Linked DNA regions of Oryzias latipes. The protein of the gene in region 1 purifies or fractionates together with the protein of each later gene. This does not show direct contact. Links are inferred from orthologs where the notes say so. Each region holds a gene or a part of one and is shown in the gene's direction. Other genes may lie near its edges.

Region 1 (3,754 bases):
CAATGTTTTTTTTCATAGTTGAACGTGTTTTTACTATTTCTGGCTTTAATAAAAGCTGTAATTTTCTCTTTATTAAAAAAAATTGGAAAATTACATACTCAATCTAGTTATTTGGGGGGGGGGGGGGGGGGGTAAAAGTAAAAAGACCAATATTGGTACCTATTGTAACTGTAACAACAAAAATGATGTATTCACTTTATGGTCTCTACAGAAAAGCCAGTTTAGCTGCTCAAAACAACAGCAGAAAGAAGTTTAACGGACAACGGTAGTTTGGTGACAAAGATCTGCAAAACCACGATATGAATGGAACATTGATTTTGTGCGTAATCTCAGAGGGTGCAGCACAGGTCAGACAAGCCAACAGAACGAATTGAAAATCATTTCTAAATTTTAATCCCTCTAAAATGTAGCTTTTTCCCGGATTTATTCCATTGCGCACCCTCTCGCGCACATGCGGAAAAACAGAGCCCCGCGTGCAGCGACAGCAAACACGTGTCTGTTACTGAATCAAGTTCTAATGTGAACCGGAAAGACGAAACAATCTTCAAAATATAAGTCTTCAACTTTTAAAATTTTGTCTCGGAATACACAAAATATGGGTAGTTGTACGTTAAATTTTCATTGCTTAAGTAGCTTTAATTACTTTAATAATATTACTAGCTACCTCTTTTTCTGGCTGATCTTTTTCAAGGGTTCTCACTGCAATTCACTTGCTATCACTCAATTCTAATTTTCTCTCACACCAAACTATCACAATTTATTCACGCATCACATTCACAAATGTTCATTTAGGTATTTCTGTTGCATGCTTCCGAGCAACTATAACCTTGAAACTCATTTAAACGTCTTTAACCACTGTTCTTTCTTTGTACCGCGCTCAGATCAGGTCCAAACTATCTCCGTCATTGAAACGTCCCTCCGCTGGACTTTTATTTTGAAGGTAACGCAAAGGAAGAAGCTTCAGAATTCTTCCGCTTTGAAGATTGTTGAAGTGTAGATTCAGTTGCTAGTTTAAGTAGGCGACATTTATCCTAACTGAAGCATAATTTATGCCTTCCTGGAATGTTTAAGAAGTTTTAAGGTAACATTATATTATTTCTTTTGTGTTTTAGTAAACAAAATTTGTGTTCAGCATGATATTAGCTTGCAAGCTAATATGCTAATCTGTTTGTTTATACGTTTATTTTCTTAGCTCCTCTAATTCACTGGTTGTTGCTAATCTGCTAGATATCTGGTTGTTAAACAAAAATAGACTGTAAAAGTCTTCTTATTTTATAAAGAAGGTTTCTGATAAAATAGGTTTGGTAATGTTTTATAATGGTCGTATTATTAGCCTTAGCTTAAACGATCATGTACAGCTACAGGTAAAGTTTCGCTTTTTATTTTTTTTATTTATTTATTTTTAAGCAAAGAAAGCTTTTTAACATTACTTACTAACAAATTTAACTGTGTTGGTCGGCAGATGGATGCAACATTTCCAAAAGAAGAGGAGGATAAAGGATTAGATCAGGAGTTGCCTGTGCAGATAAATGAGAATGCAAAAGTAACAGGAGATTTTCACCAGGAATTATTAGTGCCAATAGAAGAGGAAGAAAATGTCACAACCGTGACAGATAATAGGCTGGAGTTACCAGAACAGATGGAAGAAGATGAGACTAAAAGATTAAGTCAAGAAAACCACCTGGAGGTAGAGATGAAAGAAGGGGGGCATGAAAGAAAAATTGGGGAAAGTGATCAAGTGTTACCAGGGCAGCTAAAAGGGAAGGAAGAGCCGAGATTACTCGTGAACAATGAACGACTTATGTTAAAACAAAAGGAGAAAGATGGAACATTGAGAGAAACTGAGCAGGAATTATCAGTGGTGGAAAAAGAAGAAGAGGAGGAGGAGATGGAGGTTTCTTTGGCAAAACCAGAGGCAAATCCCATTATGACCCTTAACAAGGCCACACCCCCATATTCAGAGACCCGTCCTGAAAAAACAAGAGATGAGCAGACGCCAGTATCCTTGGTTGCAATGACCGTATGTATGGTTGAAAACAGCGAGGATGAAGAGGAGACTGAAGATTCAGACAGGTACTCACACACACACACACAGATCAATGAAGTGGTAGATCTTTTGTTTTTGCTTTTTACATCATATAACATGAAATGAAGGCGCTTTAAGGGGATAAAGATGATTCTAAATCCTCTTTTTCCCATCCCCAGTGATAGTTCATCCTCTTCTTCATCTTCTTCCTCATCCTCCTCTTCGCCCTCCCGTCCCTTGTTCGAGGATGATGATGATGAAGGCTTCAGCCAGCCGGTCCCTGTCAAAAGTAAAGATGAAATCTGCTTTGAGGTCAGTCTTGACACTTTGTTTTGAAAGCTCAAATAAAAGCACAAGCGTGTTACATTTCTATAACCCTAAATTTGCAGCTAAATTCACACTTTTTTTAGATTTATTTATAATCTAGCATGATGTAGTGTTCATTTAAAAAAAAGTTTTTCAAAAAGAATTTTTTTTTAAAGAAGCGAGTGGATCACGTTGTTCCTTTATTAATGTCCTTATAGATATGAAAGGAAAGAGCGTCCATTTAAATTGAACCAACTTTTAAAAAGAAAAGAAAAAAACACCTTGTATTTTTGATAACCGATTATTCTAACATAAAACATGCACTCTAGCTTTTTAGGATTTAAAGACATTACTTTTGTTCTTGCTTTTTACGTTTTGTTTTCTACATTAGAAATCAAGTCTATATTTTAGATGTCACATTGCCAAAGAGGCTTGACAAATTTGTGCTGGCAGTGCAGAAACAAAAACAATGGTTCAAAATAAATCAAAAGCAAAAGATATTGGGAAAATCGCTTCTTTTAATGTTTTATCCAACCAATTATTTGCCTTCACCAAGATTATTTAGTCATTCAGTTTTTTTCGGATTTTGCAGGGCATTAAAAAGGAAGTAAGTGATCTTGAGGGCAACCTAAAGCAACAGGCAGATGGTTGGACCTGAACAGGAAAAAAAGAAAATATCAAATTAAAGAAGAATCTTCTAAAGGCCCGTACACACCGGGACGAATATTTGCCAGGCGTTATTCGCCAGCGTTTTTCGCCACGTTTTTTGTGTTCACACCCAGGCGATTTTCGCTGACGATGAGTGGAGTGAACATGCAATTTCATTCCCTGACATTAGATGGCGCTTAATGTAAAACAGAAATACTCCTGTACACAAGGTGGCGCTGCGCAACTTTATGCTTCTTAAAGTCGCTTTTCACTCAGAAGAAGAGAGCAAGTATTTACACGCTTGTCAGAATCAAACAAAGAAAACATGAATATTTCAAGCACCAGTAGCTCCAACTGGTGCTTCGTTCGGGGATATTTTAGAATGTCCGTCATTATTGCTTCGCGGCTGTGTGTAGACGCTACTTGGCGTCTATCTTCTTCGCTGGTATGTGTGCTCAGCAAGGCAGTTTTGTGTTTGAGCGCCCCCAAGTTGTTTTACTGTAACTTCAGAAGCTCCAGACACGTGAGCAAAAGCGCCATTCTCATTGGTCGAGTAGATTTCGACGCGACACGTCGAAAAAAAAAAACGAACCCGAGGCGTTTTTTTTTTTTTGACGCTTTAACGCGTGGCGTTTTTTCGCGTCGGTGTGCACACTCTCGTTGGTGCCCTTTGTTTAGTCACGAGGCGTTAAACGTCGGCGAAAATCGCCGACGAAATTCGTCCCGGTGTGAACAGGCCTTGAAGCTTCAGAAAGCAGACATATTTTAGGTTTC
Region 2 (3,754 bases), on another chromosome or scaffold:
AAAACAAATAAATATTATTTTTCATTTGGTATCAGTTTAAGGTTTGAAGTTCTTGTTTAAACTTAGGGGTCAAGTTTTTTTAATTTTCATTATTTCTTTTGGCGTTTTCAATGTGTACTTTTGAGTTATTTTTTTTTTTACCTGATCCTAATTTCAATTCAATTCAATTTTATTTGTATAGCCCAAATTCACAACAACAGTCGTCTTGATGGGTTTCATATAATTTGACCCCATAGCGTGTGGCCCATCAATTTCAGTTTGTTTGACAATTGACTGTTAAATTTACAACTGGATAAATGGCGTGTGATATCATCCATAGAAAATGCCTTGCTTCTGGTTGCAACCAACTGAAGTCAATTCAGTCCCCATTTTTCTGCGATATGTCCTTCACCATGTGAGAAGCAGATGACCTCAGTAAGCCGTGATTGGCTTGTCTACATTTCTGTTGCAACCACTCTCTCCAATCAGGAGTGAGCCTGTTAGAAGGCCACACCCCTTTCCACTGAGAGCGGATAGGGAGGGTCTGTCAATCAAACGTTTCAAACTTCTGACGCTACTTTTATTAAGGCATCTGATTTGTCAGTTTATAACTTAGATAACTTTCACTACAGGAAAAATACCATGAGAAAAATCAGGATTAGCAATAAGATTTTAATAAAAGTTATCAGATCCAGAATGGTTATTCTGACCAATAGAATGACAGAGTAACAGCTGTTTATTTCTTAATAGAAGTCTATGGGGTTTTGCCTTCTTAGGACCAGCAGGTACTTCCTTTTTTGGTACACGGAGGGGGTGGGGGGGTGTTTTTCAGTCTAGTTCTTATTTTACTCTCAATGGTAACGACAAGCTTTTTTACACTGTAAGTTTGTCATCTACTCCTGATTCACAGCAATTTGAATAAAGAAATAACAGAAGAAACACACAAAAACACACATTTAATCTTAATTTTCTTTTTATATTTTCACTATCATGAGAAAAACACCACAAGAACTTAAACACAATTTCATTTTTGAAAGAAAGAAGCAAATTAAAGTCATTTGGAATGTAAACTTTGAAACGTCACGCTGCATTTCACCGCCCGGCCGCTAGCGGCGCTGTGATAAGCCGTAGTCTGAAAAAAGAAGCAGAGGAAGCTGAGCACGTGAGGTGTCCTCGTGTTAAGTTGTTGTTAGCAGACGTTCGGCTCAGAAAATCATCGATTGGAAATGACGAAGGTGAAGAAGGAGAAATTGGATGCGGAGGAGCCCGCCGGCGTCCCGGAGCGCTCCTATCACGAACTGATCGCGAACCTGAACCCGATCGCGCAGCCGCTGGCTTCCAGGAAGCTCAGCAAGAAGCTCTACAAGTGCGTGAAGAAAGGTACGAGTGCGGGACGTTTCCAGGTTGTGGATCAGTCCGGGTCCGACTGGGACCGGGTTGGACCAGGACAGTATTGAGCATTTTTGTGGTTTCAGCTGCCAGAGTGAAGAACATCCGCAGAGGAGTGAAGGAGGTGCAGAAGTTCATCAACAAGGGAGAGAAAGGGTGAGTTAGAACGAGCCGGAGCTGCTCAGGAGGAGGAGAAGCATGTTGGTGGATGAAGCTTCTCATAGGATCCTTTGTTTTTCTCTAGAATCCAGATAATTTCCGTTTGTCTCTGTGCTGCTCTTCATTTCTCATTTTATTGTCTGGAGCTACAGTTCTTTAGAACTTTAATGATGAGAAACTTTGCAAAACCTTTCAACCAAGTTCTTTTCTGTTTTAGTTGGGGTTTAGTCAAAGCGACTCAGTGATGTTGGCCAGTTCACAAATATGACTGCGCATGCGCGGGGTCAAAGGTCAAGGCCTCATTGGACGACAAACTTGGTGATGGTCTCTAACCCTAGCCATGATGAAACATATTCAAAGTTAAAATAACAGGACCATCTGCCCGGTCAGTTAACGAACTAAAGGCGCCCGACGATGCACCAGATGTGCTGCGACACAGGTGTGCTGCGACACAGGTGTGCTGCGACACAGGTGTGCTGCGACACAGGTGTGCTGCGACACAGGTGTGCTGCAGAGGCCTCATCCCCACAGCAGACGATGATAAAAAGGACGTATGCATGCGAAGCATTGGACATGATACAACTTGAGGACTGGATAACAGTTGTCTGGTTCAACATTAGGCCCACATGATGCAGTACTCAAACATTCCAGATCTATAATACTAGTAGAAGGCTTAAATATTCCATATGGACTATCTAAAGGCGTACGACATTCTTCTGTTTCTTTGACAGATCAGAATGCCACTTCTCTGCATTGACAGAAAACAATAACCCGATCCTCTTGTGATTGAAAAGGCTCTTGGGTTGGTGAGGAAGCAACTAAAACATGGCTGACAGAAATGTCAATATTGCTCACTCATGTCACTGAACGGTCTGTTCTTACTAGTATTTGCTGCTTTGGTTTTTTTGTTGCTATTTTTTCATTAGCTGACCCACCAACGGCAAACTGCATCTGCCGATGGACCTGTACTTTGTCTTTGGTTATGTATCGTAATGGCTGCGTTTTGGCTTAGCGGTCACCTTGTCTGCTGTCCATTGAGGTCTCGACCTTTGACCCCGCACATGCGCAGTCACCCGTGTGACTCAGTCTTTTGTGTTTAGTCTGAGGGGGCGTGACCAGAAGTGACTTCATTGCTTGCAAGCTGGTTTTCTGATTGGTCGTTGCTCTACAGGATCGTGGTTTTAGCTGGCGACACTCTGCCCATCGAGGTGTACTGCCACCTACCGGTCATGTGTGAGGACAGGAGCCTGCCGTACGCCTACATCCCCTCCAAAGTGGTGAGTCAGCAGCGCACCTATGCAGGTGTTCCTCTCTTTGAGGACTTCAAAAATAGCAGTAATGAAAGTGGATTTGCAGAGGCGATCCATGAAGGGATCTGCTGAAAGGTGAACCACCACCGACAGCAGTAAAGTTATAACTAAACCTCTGGTACGTTGTGTAAAAGTGAGGAAATATTTCAAATTTTATTTGCTTTCTTCAGAGAAACACATTTTTTCAAACGAGACCAGAACATTAAAGGTGGACATACATTCTGTGAAAGAAAGTTCTGGAAGTAAATACTGAGATGATCTCCACTCACAACCAAAAATCAAATAAATATAAATAGCTTCCAATATATTTATACACTAAACTAGAAATTCCTTACATCCAGTGAAGTATATTTGGGTTACAGTAGCAGCATTCTGGTATGGAGATGTCTTTGGTGGGTGGAGTTCTCAAAAACAAAGCGCTTGAATGTAAAAAGCACAATTTTACAGAATATGGCCTAAACTGTTTAAAATGGATATAAAGTGCCTCTATTGCAAGTTACAGGTACTTAACATTCTCAGCTGTTTCTAACTTTGCTGCTGCTGGGGTGTGTCAGAATTCCTTCACTACTCACTGCATAATGCGTCCACCTTTTTGTAGAGCTGTCTGAATCTACAATTACAAAATCCAGTGCCCTAGAAATTTACCAGAAGTCTCTGTGAAATACCAGTGTGCATCAAGGCTCACTATGTCGGTGAATATAGACCACAATGCATAGTATCAGAACAATTTTTGCCAAAAGAAAATGTATTTAAATGTATTTTTTTAATTAAACCATCAATGTTTTTATCTTCAGAACTCAGTGGACTCATAAATAATGGTGACAAAACGCTCATATGAATTAGATTTTAACTTTGTGAAATCAATTATGTCATATTCGCCATTTAAAATATTAAGCACTGAGCATTGTGTCTGAATT

The links. Proteins that work in one complex are often made in the same cells at the same time.
Region 2: the proteins of H/ACA ribonucleoprotein complex non-core subunit NAF1 (region 1) and nhp2 purify together in Homo sapiens (affinity purification with western blotting; 3 studies listed by BioGRID and IntAct, with this or other methods). This does not show direct contact. The link is inferred for Oryzias latipes from reciprocal best matches to the Homo sapiens genes NAF1 and NHP2.

The regions. Positions count from the first base shown.
Region 1 is NC_019859.2:6,670,697-6,674,450, forward strand, and holds the start of H/ACA ribonucleoprotein complex non-core subunit NAF1, read left to right. Parts: upstream 1-949; 5' UTR 950-1,081; intron 1,082-1,462; coding exon 1,463-2,073; intron 2,074-2,205; coding exon 2,206-2,338; intron 2,339-3,754. UniProt on the Homo sapiens protein: RNA-binding protein required for the maturation of box H/ACA snoRNPs complex and ribosome biogenesis.
Region 2 is NC_019872.2:3,233,683-3,237,436, reverse strand, and holds the start of nhp2 (H/ACA ribonucleoprotein complex subunit 2), read left to right. Parts: upstream 1-1,101; 5' UTR 1,102-1,205; coding exon 1,206-1,359; intron 1,360-1,454; coding exon 1,455-1,524; intron 1,525-2,698; coding exon 2,699-2,804; intron 2,805-3,754. UniProt on the Homo sapiens protein: Required for ribosome biogenesis and telomere maintenance. Part of the H/ACA small nucleolar ribonucleoprotein (H/ACA snoRNP) complex, which catalyzes pseudouridylation of rRNA.